2 linked regions of the Diceros bicornis minor genome follow. The protein of the gene in region 1 interacts with the protein of each later gene in a biochemical or structural test. Links are inferred from orthologs where the notes say so. Each region holds a gene or a part of one and is shown on either strand. Other genes may lie near its edges.

Region 1 (7,918 bases):
AAACTATCTTCGAGCTCAATGTCCAGGCCTTTGCAGGAGGGGCCATGGGGGCTGTGAATGGGATGCAGCCCCATGGTGTCCCTGATAGAACCAGTGTCCAGTCTGATGAAGTCTGGGTGGGTGTGGTCTATGGACTGGCAGCCACCATGATCCAGGAGGTAATGTGCTCCCTTCCCCATCTCTCCACCATCTATACCTTGGCCCAGCAAACTTCCTCAGCTGTCACACTTCTGTACGGCCTAACCCATCCCATCTGATCCATCTAGAAAGCCTCGGCCTTTTCCCTGGCCGGCATTCCATCTCCTGCCTTCAGGATTCTCCCTGTACTAGCTAGGAGCTCCCCGAGGGCAGAGATCCTATTGTCTCCATCTCTCCAGCTGACCTGAGGTCAGGGGTTGTCAAGTAATATGACTGCCATCTCTCCCTACAGGGCCTGACTTGGGAGGGCTTCCGGACAGCGGAAGGCTGCTACCGTACCGTCTGGGAGCGCCTGGGCCTGGCCTTCCAAACTCCTGAGGCATACTGCCAGCAGCAGGTGTACCGCTCGCTGGCCTACATGCGGCCATTGAGCATCTGGGCCATGCAGCTGGCCCTGCAGCAGCAGCAGCAGCATAAAAAAGCCTCAAGGCCAAAAGCCGAACAGGGTACAGGACTAAGCACAGGGCCTAAATTTGGACCAAAGGAAGCCATGGCAAACCTGAGCCTAGAGTGAGCTCTCTGAACTGTGGGAGGGAGGCACTAACAGTCCATTCTCCAACCTGGCCTTCCCTCTGGCCCCTGGCCCCCCACCCCCCACCCGCACCCTCCCCAGTCTCCTGCATCCCTGAGCCACCAGGACAATCATATCCCTTTCCCTTCTCCCCACCCAACTGCGCCAGTAAAGAGGGGTTGAGGTTGACCCAGGCATCAGAATCACTTATTTATTTCTTTCCTCACTCCTTTCGCTCACTGCATGAAATGTTCAAGGAGGTCAGTTGATTCCCCCAGGCCCATTCGTGGAGTGATAGACATACATGGGTACAAATAAAAGACCCAGAAAGCCAGTTAAGTGTGGTGTGTTTGAGCCCTCAGGCTTCCTGACAGGGCACAGGAGCTGAGGCTAGCCCTCTCCCACTCCTTTTTATTTGGACACAGACTGGGGGCCCCAGGCTCTTGCTGAGGTCCCCCACATCCTCACATCTAGCCTAAGTATGGGCCCTGCAAGATGACAGGTGTGGGGCTGTGAGTAGGAAGTCATCCCCCCTCCCGTGCGATTTGTGTGCAGAGGAAAGATAGGACCTGGACAGGGGGACTTTGAGAAGGGGTCAGGGAGTGGCAACTTCAGGGGAGGCTCTGCGCCAAGAGCCTGAAGCACGTGGTAGAACAGGCAGCAAGAGTTGCCAGGAGCTTGGAGCACGTGGTCTGAGCTGTCCTTTGGTGCCTCTGACTGCAGGGCAGGCGGCTCCAGCTGGTGAGGGTCCTCACTGGGGAGGGCACGAAGCTGGCGGGACAACACTGAGAAGACAAAGACTCTTTAGAGGCAAGCCAGGCTTCTCCCCTAGCCCGCCCTTAATGGTATCCTCAAGCCTCTCACCTCCACGCTCAGCTGGCAGGCTCCCCCTTGTGTCAGAAGAGTACATAGCAGGTACGAGGAGGAGACAGAAGGAGAACAGTAGGACCTGGAGTACAGGAAACAGGAGGTGATGAAGGGCTCTTGATTGCATCCCTGTCCCTGCTGCCTGAGAAGAGGATCTCTCCTTCCATCAGCATCCTCACCAGAACACAGGTGCTGCTGCTGCTGGTTTTGTTTGATATCTGAATCATCATGGCCTGGAGTCTCCTCAGCTGATCCAGAAGAGACCTAGGGGAAGAGGGCAGTGAGCAGCCCCTGGCCTGGCACCCTGAGATACAGTGAAACCCTCCTGTTAAGGCCACTCCCTCCGTCTGTGCACTGGATCCTCTCTTACTTTTTGCAAATGACTTCTCTCTGTGGACAAAATGCCTGAAGTTCCTCATTAAAATATCCCTCTGCTCTGGCGTGACTTAAAACTCTTTTGCACATACCTTCAGTACTTCCTACACTGCCCCATCAGCTATGCACATAATTCTCACCAGGCATTCTATGTTCTCTTCCTTCTGACTCCACTCATGTTAAAGAGTTCCAGTCAGACTGGACTATGCTGTGGTCTCTACCTAGAATACTCTCAACACCCCCACAAGAATCCTATCTGCTATTAAATACCATCTGCCCCATGAGGTCTTTCTTACTCTTTCTCCTCTCTCTTTCTTGGTACTTATCATTAGTTACTTGTGAATTTACTCGCCATTACTGTGAGCTGCTTGGAATTAGAGACCCAGTAAGGGCCAACCACCAGACCTTGCATGTGGGAGCTGCCCAGTTAGAAATCAAGTGTGGAGCAAAGGAAAAAGTGAGACAGCGCCAAATAGGAGGGATGAGAAGGGACTGATGTTGCAGAGCTGCTTACAGATTCTGTTCCTCCAGGAGCTGTACTCTGTTCTGTAGCTCCAGATTCTGGGCTGTGTATTTCAAGACCCTAGGGGAATAACAGGGATGTGGGGATGTGGCCTGTATCCTCCCTTCAAAAACCTAACACTTGCAATACTTTTGGAAGGTATTGGAACTCCAATTCCAATACCCCACCACCGAGTCCCTCTCCCGTTTATACCTGTTCTCTAAACCCCCCACATACACCTTCTTCTTCCTGCGGCTCTCCTGAGCAGACTTTTTGTTTCGAATCTTCCTCCGTACTCGTTTCAGAACTTGTTCTTCCATCTGAGAGAAGGCAGGAAAAGTTATCATCAGAGGAACACTGGACCAAAGAGTTGGAATGCAACTGAGTTCAATCTTCTTCCCAGTGCAGGAATCCCTTCTACAGCTTCTCTGACAAACAGGCACTTGGCTTCTGTCTGAATGCCTCCAAGGACCAGGTGTTAATGCCCTCATAGGCCGGACCCTTTTAATAATTTTAATTAAAAAAAAAAAAAACCTTCCTTATCCTGAGCCAACATCTGCCTCTCTAATTTCTAGCCTTTGGACTTACCTAGTACCTAATCTCTGGGGCCATATAGAACAAATGATCTTGAGCTATTTTAAGGCGCTTGACATTTCTTCAGAGTCAAAAAAAATCTGGGCAAAATTTTTAACTCGTCATCTTATCAGTATGGACTGCATCCGTTTAATATCTGTCAAAGATCTGGGTTCAAAACTAAACACTCAGATGTGCTCTGGCCAGTATAAAGAAGAGAGATAGTCACTGCCCTTCTAGAGGCAACACCTCTATTGATTACAGCCTCCAAACCCCATTCACTTTCTTAGTAGCCATATCACATTGCTGACTCATCTTGTACTTTTAAGAAATTAAAATTCTCTTAACCTTTCTGTCAGTGAATGTCGATTTCATCACAGTGTCACAATATTGTGCTTGTGAAGTTGCCATTTGTTGCTTGAAACTTAAAGCTCAGAATTTTACATTTATTCCTGTTATATTGCTTGGTCCAGCCTTGATAAACTCTCTAAAACTTAATTCTACCATTCAACAAGAGGTGGATTACCACGAAGCCAGTGAAATGTGTCAGGGCCCCTCACTTGCACAGTCCTTTCCAATGCCCTATACTAATGTTGCACTGATAATGTGGAATTCTTTTTTCTTAAAGAAAACACCAAAATTTTTATAAGCCCCACAAAACCAGGAGCAGCTCTTGCATCCAGCATATTAACTACATGCACCAGCTTCCTATTAGCAGGGAATTTGCTAAATTTCTCACCTCAGTCCTTTTTCAAGTTACTGATATAAAATTAACAGAATTGGCCTACTTGGGGCTCAACTTCCTTTGCTGCCTTGCTCCACCAATGGGAGTCTTACCTTAGTGAGAGGAAGTGTCCCAGGCAGAGTAAGCCCCTCCTTCTCCAACAGCCTCTTCTCCTCATCTGTCAGTATCAGCCTAGCAATCTCCTGGGGTTCCAGGGAGGTGGCAGCAAAGTTGCAAGGCAATATCAGAGAGGAATGGGGAATCCTACCTCCACCCATGCAATGTGGGAATATTCCTCCGTAAATCAAATCAAGTACCTGCTCTGCTGGCTCCTCTACATGCAATGGAGTCATCTGGGCCCCCTCTTTTCCATAGCTCCCGCTATCTGCAAAAGAGAAAATATGAATAGCCAAGCCCATCAGTCCTCTCCTCTCCCAAAACTTCTCTTACTTCAGACTCACCTAGATCTATGGAAATATGTTCCTGTGGTACAGAGTAGGTGTGATCATGGTGGACAGGACAGGAGTTAGAAGAGTTGAGAACGTTCAACGACGCTGGGGGACTCAGCAGAGAGCTCAGGAAATCCTCGGCCTCCCAATCCCTCAGTACCTGCACAGGGTTCAAATTAACAGGCCTTGACCTATCACCACCCCCTGCCTCAAGGACGCCCCCCTCCCCGCCCCGCGCCTCCCCGACTCGGAGCCCGTACCCACCTCAGAAAGCGGCAGCTCCCAGTCTAGCGGAGCCTCCACGGCCTCGTGGATCGCCGCCCCCAAATCTCCGCTTTCCTCTAGCAGGAAGTCCAGCAGGTCTTGGTCACCCGGGTCCGACGGCAGCTCCATATGGGACATCTACGGAAAGGATGCGTAGAAACACAGGGGTTCGCCCCTCCACCTGGCCCCAACCCCGAACCCCATGCAAGACACTCCCCTAACGTCAGTCCGTCTTCAACCGGGCTTGCCCCGGAGCTGCTAGCCGACGCTCTCAAAGGGGACACGCCTCCTGAACTCAAGTCTCCCCGGCTTCCAACACAACGGAAGTGACGCCCATGCCCCCAAGGCATTCTGGGACACGGAGTTCCCCTAGTGCGGAAGTGGCGCCACGTCCCGGGAGCCATGCAAATCGAGGGGGCGGGCATTCTGCTGCTTCCTCACAGCCTGAGGGCGGGCATTCTGGGATGCGGCTCCGCCTTCGCCCCAAGCTAGAAAAAGGAAGGATTCGAGCCTAAAAGGGAACTGGGGCGTCTTCTCCGGATCGCGCCGCAGCCTTGCTTCCTGCCAGGGAGGGCCTGCGGGTCTTCGGAGGGTTCCCGAGCATCGAGAGCTGGGGCCAGAGCAGCTTCCTTCAGTCCCCGAAACCATAGAGCGCGGGCACAGGGCGCCGCCCGCGGGTGGGGGACGCTCCGGGGACGGAAGTGGCCGCCGGAGTGTCGAAGGGAGGGCGAGGCCGGAGCCCGAGAGCCACCGGGAGGACGAGCGAGCCCGGTAGCGGGCCGGCGGGCGGGGCACAGAGCCGGGCAGCGCAGGTAGGCCGGACTGGGCCCAGCCGGAACCTCAGGATGGGGCCGGGAGGCGGGCGGGCGGGGCCCCGACCCTCCTGCGTCTCCTCCTGCGGGTCCTGTTGGAGAGGTCAGCGGCCAGTGTATCTCGGTTTGGGCTCGGAGTTAAGTAGGCCGTTTTGCGGGAGCCAGCCCCCTCCTGGGAGCAGTCCTCGGCCTGGGATAGGTTTTGGGGAGGGCGAGGAGTGGGGTGGTAGTGAGGCGCAGGGCGGGGATCGGCTTTGAGGATCAGCGGGTATGTGGATAGGAAAGCTTTGGGTGAGTTTGGGATTAGGTGGAGTTCGGTTTAGGACTCAAGGTTAGTTTTAGGAGGTATGAAGCCGGGGTTAAAATTTAGTGTTATTAGTGTGAGTCAGGTCCGTTTTATGTAGGTGAAGTTTGGATTACGGTCATTATTTTGTTTTTTAGGGTGGCCAAGATAAGTCAAAGTTACGGTTCAGGGTCAGGTTAGAGGTCAATAACAGGAATTAGGTTGGAAGTCTAGTTTTAGGGATAAGAGAACGTTGGCATAGTCAGTATTAGGGATAAAAAGTGAAGAGGTGGGTCAGGAATCAAGTGGCAAATGAGCTTTAGACCTAGGGGTCAACATTTAGGGTTAAGGTCAGGGGCTTTGGTGCTTTTTAGCACCATTTAAAGGTAAATATTAGAAATCAGGGATTGGATACAGGTGTCTGCTAGGAAAGGGGTGAATGTCAAAGCCAGTACTGGGAAACAGGAAACACATTAGGGTTGGGGTTAGTGTTAGGAATTAGGGGCAGTTTTAGGGGTTGTGGTTGAGGTCAGGATAGTGGATCTCGGACACGTGAAATTTAAGATTAGTGGTAGGTAGAGGCCCTGTTTTGCGAGGAGGTCTCTCATTTCTGTGTAGTCGCAGGGGCTTCTTTGGCCCAGAGAAATGACAGACTATTTTCAGGCTAGGGTTCTGGGTTTCAGCTAGAATTGCAGGCATCTGGGACTCCAGCTGCTTTATTCTACTCTCTAAGCCCAAGGCTCTTGCTGTGGCCACAACAGTTGAGGGGCAGAGGTTCGTGGACTATGTTGTTTACAAGATAGGAGGTGGGAAAGGGACAGGGACCCAGGAGATGTGTAAGGCCTAGTCCTGAGTAGGGGACTGCCTAGAGGAAAGGGGACTGGTGACTAAGGGGGAAGCAGACCAAGAAAACACTGTTGCCACAGGAGCGGGGGATGACTGATCCTCTGAAAGTTCAGCCCCATTGCTTCCCATTCTCCTCATTCTCTCAATGTTAAGCTCTCCACTCCAGCTCTCCTCCCTGGCCCTGCATTTCACACCCTTCTTGCATACCCCCTTACAGAATGCTTCCCTTGTCTTTAACTCTCTCATGTTCTTCATTTTGCCATGTGTTCCCAGCCTCAGTTTTGCCTCTCTTCCCACCCCTTAATCCGCACACATCCTACCTTAATTTACTGTCGCCCAACTCTGAGCTTTCCCATCATCTTAAAGCACTCTCCCACCATTTTCACCCGCTCATCTACCTGAATACCTCCTGATCATCTGCTGAATACTCCAGCCCCAGCCCAACACAACTGCCAAGTACTTCCGATGCCTGCTGTGTTCCATCCCTGATTCTAAGCCTTAATTTCTTGGTCCACTTGTAGATCCCCTTCCCCCACTCCCCTGACAGAAAAGAGGAAATGAGACCCAAAGAGGAAACTGGGTCTTGCTGATCCCACGCCCAGCCAGGCCACTGACCACACCCCCATTTCACTCCCAGCCTGACCCTGCCACTGACCACAGCACTATCCCCTACCGAGCCTGACCCAGCCACTGGCTGCACCCCATGCACCACCCCCAACTCCAGCTTTACTTAGACACTGCTGGTGTCCCTTCACTCTTTGCCCATCCCATCCTAATTTAGCCACTGACCACAGCTCCCTCTCTTCTCAGTCTCGTAGCCTGACCTGGCTTCTGACCTCACTGCATCATTCCCTGACTTAGCCACTGTCCACATAATTATTCTTCCGTTTCCCCCAGCCTGATCTAGTGACTGATCATATATGTATTTTTCCTACCATCTTCCCCAGCCTTTCTCTACACCTCATCTTCCCCATTTCCAGCCCAATGCAGTCACTGACCTCATCCCTTCTGCCCCTCTACCTGGTACTAACCACATCCCCATCCCTTTTTCCCTCAGCCTAACCACATCTCCTAACCACAGCCTCATCTTCACATTCCCAGCTTGTCCTTATACTTTCTTTCCCCCCTTCCCAATTCCTGACCTAAACTCAAGCTGCCCAGCCACTGAGTGACTGCTGATGACAAGAAGCTATGGGACCCCAGCCTGACTTTGGGCCCTGGTCCCTGAGGGTTGACAGGACAGACTGTCATCAGTTCCTATCAGTTCTACCTCTTAAAATTTCTGATGAGTGACATCCTCTCCACCCTTCTAACTCTGGCTTCATTACCCCTCACTTCTGCTAATGCAGTATCCTTCTAACTAATCTCCAAGGTAACTGCCAGAGTTATTTTCCTAAAATCTGGTTCTGGTTATGTCCCGTCTCTGCTGAAAGCCTCCCTTGGCCTCCTGTTGCCCCCTAGTAGGTATCATTCCTCATACTCTCCCTAGTTCTCACCAGCCTTTCCATCCTCAT
Region 2 (7,751 bases), on another chromosome or scaffold:
AGATACCATTTAAACCAGAAATATCTGCAGAAATGCAGATCTATATGTATAAATGAAATTTTGTCTACAAATTTTAGGGGGTTCATAGACACACGGTTTCCCATATATTGGTACACAGCAAGAACTCAATCTTAGATAACATTATGGGGATTAATTTGGGGAAATAGGGTGCTTTTACTTACCAAACAAACGTATCTTTTAACTGACCTAGACTTCCGACTCCCTAATGAATCAGGCCTCAAATCAGGCTGCTCTTAATTCAAATTGCCAAATATTCTTAAAAGGAGTTAAATGAGGAAACAAAGAATGTTGTTTTATAGTCACTAGCCATAACTTGTTGGTAGCACCATCATTTCCTCTATTGAGTGACCCTGGTTCCTAAAAATAACTCCAGTGCTATTCAACTGCTTATATTTGGCATATTCTTCATTCTTATTTGGGAAGGCACATTCCCTTCTCCAGCTGAAGAAACCCAGTGTCTGAAAAGAGCTGCCTAAAAACACTGTTTCCTCTGGGCTCTTAAAAATGTTCAGCATCTGAATGCTGGCAGGGAATGCTCCCACCCAGTGGAGGCAATACTCCACGGACTGAGCAGGACCAAAAGCGGGGATGCTATATCAGGAAGCAGAACCGGTTGAGGCAGCTTTGCTCAGACGTGACCCATATTCAAAGCCATAATCTAGCAACTGTTAACTATCTAGAAAAGGAAAAGACTTAATGGCTAGCCTAAACTATAAGGGACACATTGCAAATCAGGCCAGACTGTTCTGACATTTGCCACCTTACTTTTAAATAAGCAAAGGAATAAAGCACTAACTAAAGCCTCAGGACAGGCTAGTCAAATACAGACACCTGCCATATGTACAAGGTGGGTGGCTGCCTTGCAGCAAACTGAATTTTTCATGGGTCCTCTGGAAATTATGGCAGGGCATTGAGGAGTGCTCTCTAAATTGAAGCCATCAAGCCAAAACAAAAAGTTGCAAAATAAATAAACTTCCAGTTTTTCTACACTATATGATTATTTGCATATTATTTATATATTTGGAGACAGAAAAAGGAGGAACTAGAAGGACTGTCTTACCATTTCTTGTTTTTCAAAATGCCAGTAATTCCCAGGGCTGCTTTTTTTACCAAAGCACACAGATTCACATTTTAATAGAGGGAGTTTAGTTTCTCAGAAAAAGGAATGGAGTTATTTATGATTCAGAAGCACCTCCACGTTAGTATTAGAGGGCATTATCAGAGACTTCTATTCCTTCTATCCCCATCCGCTGTCTTTTTCTTTTTTTAATGTTTAAAGGAGTTAAATTCTAAGCATCCGGAGGTGGCAGATGAGAAAAATATATCTAGGTCACTCTGTAGAAACAGTTCTTAGAAAAGAGGCTGAAGACTCACTAGCCACTGTCAATCAGTCTGCTCCAGAAGCCATCACAGATATTTAAATGGTATTTAAAACCCAAGTCTTGTTGATTAGCCAGGCTACTTCCAAGGATTTTCCTTAATTAAATCTCCTAGTAGGGCATTTTCATCACATAGGAACTGCCTAATTCAGCACACTCCTGCCCCACACAATTTTTTTCCTTATCATCAATGTTAGAATTAGTCTTCACCTATCAACCTGGAGCCTGATTTGCAGTGTCCCTGTGTATCCCCTTTGAATTTCTAAAACTACTCTTCTCATTATTCATTGTCTGGACACTCTTATTTATAGGGTGACTGACCATATAATCTATTAACCATATCAGGATGTACTTTTGAGACTGAAAAGGGGTGCTATTGATAATTATGCTTGGACAACAGACAAACTGGGGCTATCTTGGGCATACCGGGACACAAAGTCACCCTGCTTACTTAAAAATGATCTGGTATGGATTGTGCCACAATGTGTCAGTCAATGGCCAATACCAAAAAATATTTGGTCTTGGGTATACTATTCTCACAATGCAGGTATTCATCCTTTGTTCAAACCCCATGAGGTCTTGCCCTCTGATGACTGTTGCATGTGGTAAATGATTTATAAAGGAATGTGTACTGAGCTACCTGCCCACAAAAGTTTACACTGGTTAGGGTTGTTTCCACTCTGAAAGACTGAAAAGCATTCAAGTTAGCATAGGATGATTTGTGATTTACTGGATGGAGTCATATTTGAAAGGCTAAGTCCCAAGAGTGCTCAAACTACAAGAAAAAGACAGCTCTCCACTCACTCTCCCTCCCAATCCCATATTCCATAATCAGGTGATTAAATACAACCTACTAGATCTGAAGGGCAGTAATCAAACTGTGATGTTTGAAAGAGATAATCAGGTTTCTAGAGAAGCCTTTAGGCTCTTTTGTACCTGACTTAATATTAATGGTTCCTTTCATTTATGTAAGCCTATCCTTTAATTAAAAATAGAAATATTTGTAATTATTATCTGTAATTTGTAATTATTAATGATTAAAATGAACTTGGGCATCCAATCAAGTCTTTGCTGGTGAACAACTTTGAAACTTTACTTCGGAAAACAGTAGGTGAATAAAGACATTTTGAAGAGTATATGGTAGTATGGCGCCAAAACTAAAGGAAAGGCCAACTTTTAATTATTTGACATAATGAGTTATGACGAGATGTCAGAAGACAATTTATAATAATTGGGAGACAGTGTAGGTAAAGTATGATTTGTCTTAAATTCAAAATACTATTAGATGTTCTATCATGATGTGGTTAAGCAATGTGACTCCCACTATTCTTACTTACCAGGATTTCCTGTTGCGCATGGTGACTGACCAACCCTTGTTTGGAGTGTTCAAAAATTTTATAGTTAGCTAACTGTCCATCGGTTAATATTTATATGAAATTACAAGTAGAGTCATACTCCTGACCAATCACTGCTTATCTTAAAGAACATGTTTCTTTAATTTCTCTTTTCCTCAAAGCTCATGACTCTCATACATAAATTGTTACTCACACTTCAGTTTAGCCAAATGCTCTGGCCTGGTCCCAGGGTAGCAAAAGGACCCATTTATTCATTTATCAAACATTAGCTGAGCCCCCATTATGTGTCCTGGAACAGTGTTTGACCCTGGGATTAAAAAGATAATTAAACTGCCCTTGAACTAATTTAGTTTAGGGTTGTGCAAACGTAAAACTCATAATGTTCTTGTGGCAAAGATCGCCTCCTCAAATCATATACAGGGAAGAAAATTCTGGGAAATGTAGTGCAAATCAAGCATCAATCAATTCCACTTTATCTTTAGAACTATAATTTCCTATGCTGAGCCTCAGCCAATTCTGATTCATTTGGAATAGTGGTATAACCAACACCTTTAAATTCAAGAATGTTGAGGTCTAGTGGCAGCTTTACAATTGGGTTACTAATATAGAAACATCATTCAGCCTCTTAACCTTGGTCAACCATTAAGTGGGAAAGATCATGCTAACTTCTTTAGAGGTTTTCAGAGATTATCTAGTCAACAGATTTGCTTTTGCTGGTGAGCAATGTGCAAATTTTCCATAGATGGTATTATTTTATTTTCTCTTATTTAAGATTGGCAATCAAATGGGCATCCCAGCTTCTAATCTCCCCCAAGTGAAACACTACTTCTCAGTTTCACAAATCTCATAATTTGAGCTCTATTCCCCACGGGGTGCTGCAGCTCACCAGCTGGCAACTCACATTTTCTAACAGAATGGCAGCTTGTCAACAGCATATTCTGAATTACTGGGTTTCAGTATGATGTTGGCACAGGTTTCAATTCTCTTATCAAAATGTGCCCAGCCATTCTCGTAATGAATGTTTCCCTTCTCTTTTAAATGTTCCTTCTCCAGCCCCCATCTCCACCTACTAAAAAAAGTGAAAATCAAAAGAAACTGTATTCTTAAGGATGAAACTTTTCCTTCACATGCCTGTTCCCCATAAATGGACCTCCAGATTAATGTAACAAAAGCAACTCCCCAACTCACCAGTTATTCTCTAAAATATTCTTCGTCTCCATCTTTGTTGGCACCCATCTCCTTCCTAAGTCTTCACCTTCCTCATACACATAAGCCAAGCAAACTATCACTCCAGAAAAACAGTATTGGCTTTGGCTAATTCCCTTTCAAAAGGAAAACATTTTCGGGCCCCACGAAGCCCTGCCTCGATTTGCCTGGGACTGAAGGGGCTCCCGGGACAGTCCCCCCGGCAAACGGGACGGTGGGTCGGACAGACAGACCTGCGGCTTCGGGGAAGCAGAACCTAAGAGAGGCGGAAAAGGAGAGTCCCGCCCCGGGTTGCCCACGGCCCGTCCGGCCTTCTCTTATGGGAGGATACGATTAACGCTCGCCGAGGCCTTACACCTCCCGCTCCCGCTTAGCAGAAAAGAAAACTGAGGCACGGCGAAGGCCTCCGCCGGTCCCGTGCCCCGCCCTCCCAGCGCGGCTCCCCGGGCCAGCTCCTTTGTCCCGGCCTCGGTCTTCCCGCCGCCTCCGCCGCCCGCGCCTCCTCCTCGCCTGGGGCGCGGCTGACGCGGCCGGAGAGGAATGCGCTTCCGGAGGGAGAGGGCGGCGGCGGCGGCCCGAGGAGCAGGCTCGGCCGCGCCGAGGAGGCGGTGCCGCGGGGGTCGTTTCCTGCGGGAGGCGGCTCCGGGGGCCGAGTCTCCTCCTCCCGCCCCCGAGGAGGCGGGGTCGCCGCCGCCCGCCGCGCCCGAGACCGGGAGGCCGCGCCAGCCCTCGGGAGAGGCCGAGCGGGAGCCGCGGAGCAGCAGGCCCAAGCCGACCGGCCGGGGCCCGGACGCCGCCCGGAGAAGGTAGGGGCCCGGCACGGGGCGGGCGGCGGCCTCCGGGCCCGGGTGCGCGGCCGGACCTCGGGCCGCCCGCCGCGGCCAGGCCGGGACCTCTCTGTCCGGCCGGGGTGGGGGAGGCGGATTCCAGCCTTCGGGCAGGAAGGGAAGTCCGGCCGGCGCCCGCCCTCCAGGCTTCTCTCGCGGACCTTGGCCCCCTCCCCGCCGCCTCCGTCCCTCCCGCGCGCCGGCGGCCCGAGCGCGCAGAGCCGGCCCCCGCGGTCCGAGTGGGAGGGTCGCCGGCCTGGGCGCTGTCACGTCGGGGGCGCGGGGTGCGAGGACCGGGGCCCCGACCGGCCGCTCAGACGCCTGCCATTCACAGCGCCCCGTGCCGGACGCGCGGCCTGGGCGCCGGAGAGGGAGCTCGCCCCGCGCGCCCGGGTCCCCTCCGCCGCCGCGGCGCGCAGTGCGGGCGCGGACGGGGCCTCCCGGGACGCGCCGTCCCAGGACTTGGAACGATCCTTGACAGTTGCTCTTTGTCTCCGTCTCGGGCGCGGGCTGCTCTTTCTTTGAGCAACGTTGAGCTTAGTCATTAGCTTCCACATAAGGAAAATTGTTCGTCCTTCCCACTTCCAGAAGTTGGGTGCTGGCTCTCAGCGCCTGTGGCGTGGGATGAAGGGGGGGTGGACCTGAACAAGAGGGGGCGTCGGAGAGCAGCTAGGAGAAGAGGGCGCAGCGTTGGCATATGGTGGGGTTTTTTTTTTTCCGCTTAATATTTAAAAGAGCCGCACTGGAGTGCCGGATACCTCGGCAGGCGGGGCGGCCGGCGCCCGCAGGGGCCGGAGGGAGCCGCGTCCTGGGCCGGGCGCCCTGAGCGCGCAGGGCCCGGCCGGCCCTCCCGGCGTCCCCGCAGGGTTTAGTGCCCGACCGGTTCTGATGCCGGCTTACTATGTGTCATTTCTTATGCTTCCTAAAAACAAGTTCTATTTTTAAGAATACCAGTGTTTAATGCCTAAGTAATTTTTATTTGATCAAATTTGTGCTTTTGAGTCAAAACCTAGTACTGGTTGGTATGATCACTAGTCATTTACATTCTTTAAGCTTCCATTTCCTTATCTTTGAAATGGGAACAAGAATACCTACACTAATAACAGTAGTAATTAATTATTATAAGAACGACAGTGAGGGCCATGTGTAGCTCTAGGCACTTTTACATGTATTTTGTCGTTTAATTCTGGAACTGATCCGTGAGGTAGGTGCCGTTTTTATCCCCATTTTATAAATGAAGAAACTGAGGCGAAGGGAGCATAAGTCATTTGCCTGTGGTCATCCAGCTAGTAGGTGGAGAAACCTTGTCTAGACCATGTTTGAACCACAAGTAATCTTCCGTAAGTACAGTATAGTTGTGAAAAATCACACGTAAAATGTAAAACACTTAGGTTAGAGTAGAAGCTCAATAAATATTGATCTCTTTTCCTTCCTTCTTAGTATATTAAATGATTAAAAAAAATCTCAGCATGTAATTGATAACATCATTAGTAAGGTTTTTTGGGGTCTGCATCCCACGTAGATACTTAGGTGGTAGAATTACTGGGTTGTTATTTTTTATTGTTGTTTTGATGGTATGAAAATAAATGTGAAGTGAATTTTGATTTGGCGTCTTTCTTAAACTAAATACAGCTTTTGCAATAGATTGTATAATAGACTACTTTTAGAAATGATTAAGGAATTTTAGTTGGAAGTTATTTATTTTACGTTTGTGGACATCAAGGCCCAGAGGGGACAGGACTTACTTAAGAGTCCCAATAACGGTGATATTTTTAAATAATTTTGGTTCTGTGATCAGTATTATGTAACTGAAGACGAGGCAGTGATAATTAGAAAACAGATGAAACAAATCAGTATTTTGGTTACAGGCGTTTGAGGCAAATCCATTTTACTTATGCTAAAATTCAGTATAAAATGGATGTTATTAGAATGCCAGTTAAAAAGACAGGGGATGCATGAGCATAATGTCCAAAGCTGTTATCTGCGATGGTGAGCTCTAGTTGAATTAGAAGACAACAACATTTCAAGAAACGACTTTTTAAAAAGAAGCCCAACTCCATTGCTCCCACTTTCCTGCTCTTGAAAAGTAAGGGGAAGCACATTATGCTGAGTGAAATAAGCCCGTCACAAAAGGACAAATACTGTCTGATTCCGCCTCTATGAGGTACCTAGAGAAGCCAGATTCAGAGAGACGGAGTAGAAGGGTGGTTGCCAGGGGCTGGCGAAAAGGAGTGTGGGAGTTGTTGTTTAATGAGTACAGACTCAGTTTTGCAAGATGAAGAGTCTGTAGATGGTTGGTGGTAATGGTTGCACAACAGTGTGAATGTATTTAATATGGTGAATTGTACACTTAAAAACAGTTAAGATGGTGAGTTTTATGTTATGTATATTTTGCTACACTTAAAAAGTTATTAAAAAAAAAGAAAGACGGGATGTGGTTAATACTTCTGTAAATAAAGAGCAGATAAACTCCACATTAAGTCATCTGCGTGGACTTCACAGACCTAAACTTTTGTTTTTGTGATGTTGATTCTTTTAAAAAGAATGTCAAGTTTGGGGGCCAGCCCCATGGCTTAGCAGTTAAGTGCACGAGCTCCACTACTGGCGGCCCAGGTTCAGATCCCGGGCGCGCACTGACGCACCGCTTCTCTGGCCATGCTGAGGCCACGTCCCACATACAGAAACTAGAAGGGTGTGCAACTATGACGTACAACTATCTCCTGGGGCTTTGGGGGAAAAAAAAAACGGAGGAGGATTGGCAATAGGTGTTAGCTCAGAGCCGGTCTTCCTCAGCAAAAAGAGGAGGATTAGCATGGACGTTAGCTCAGGGCTGATCTTCCTCACACACACACAAAAATAAATAAATAAAAAGAATGTCAAGTTCTATATTAAGATTATTTTTCTAATCCCCTCGACATTCTGCACATGAAAAGTATAGAATCAATGATATTGAAAATCACTGG

The links.
Region 2: the proteins of TLN1 (region 1) and ITGB1 form a complex in vitro, tested with the Homo sapiens proteins (3 studies listed by BioGRID and IntAct, with this or other methods). The link is inferred for Diceros bicornis minor from reciprocal best matches to the Homo sapiens genes TLN1 and ITGB1.

The regions. Positions count from the first base shown.
Region 1 is NC_080767.1:4,151,559-4,159,476, reverse strand, and holds the start of TLN1 (talin-1), read left to right. Parts: upstream 1-4,908; 5' UTR 4,909-5,275; intron 5,276-7,918. Other genes in the region: GBA2 (non-lysosomal glucosylceramidase), read left to right, coding at 1-158, 431-712; CREB3 (cyclic AMP-responsive element-binding protein 3), read right to left, coding at 1,121-1,494, 1,574-1,658, 1,756-1,840, 2,466-2,534, 2,667-2,773, 3,864-3,953, 4,068-4,135, 4,212-4,359 and 1 more. UniProt on the Homo sapiens protein: High molecular weight cytoskeletal protein concentrated at regions of cell-matrix and cell-cell contacts. Involved in connections of major cytoskeletal structures to the plasma membrane.
Region 2 is NC_080775.1:31,097,483-31,105,233, reverse strand, and holds the start of ITGB1 (integrin beta-1), read left to right. Parts: upstream 1-4,662; 5' UTR 4,663-4,767; intron 4,768-7,751.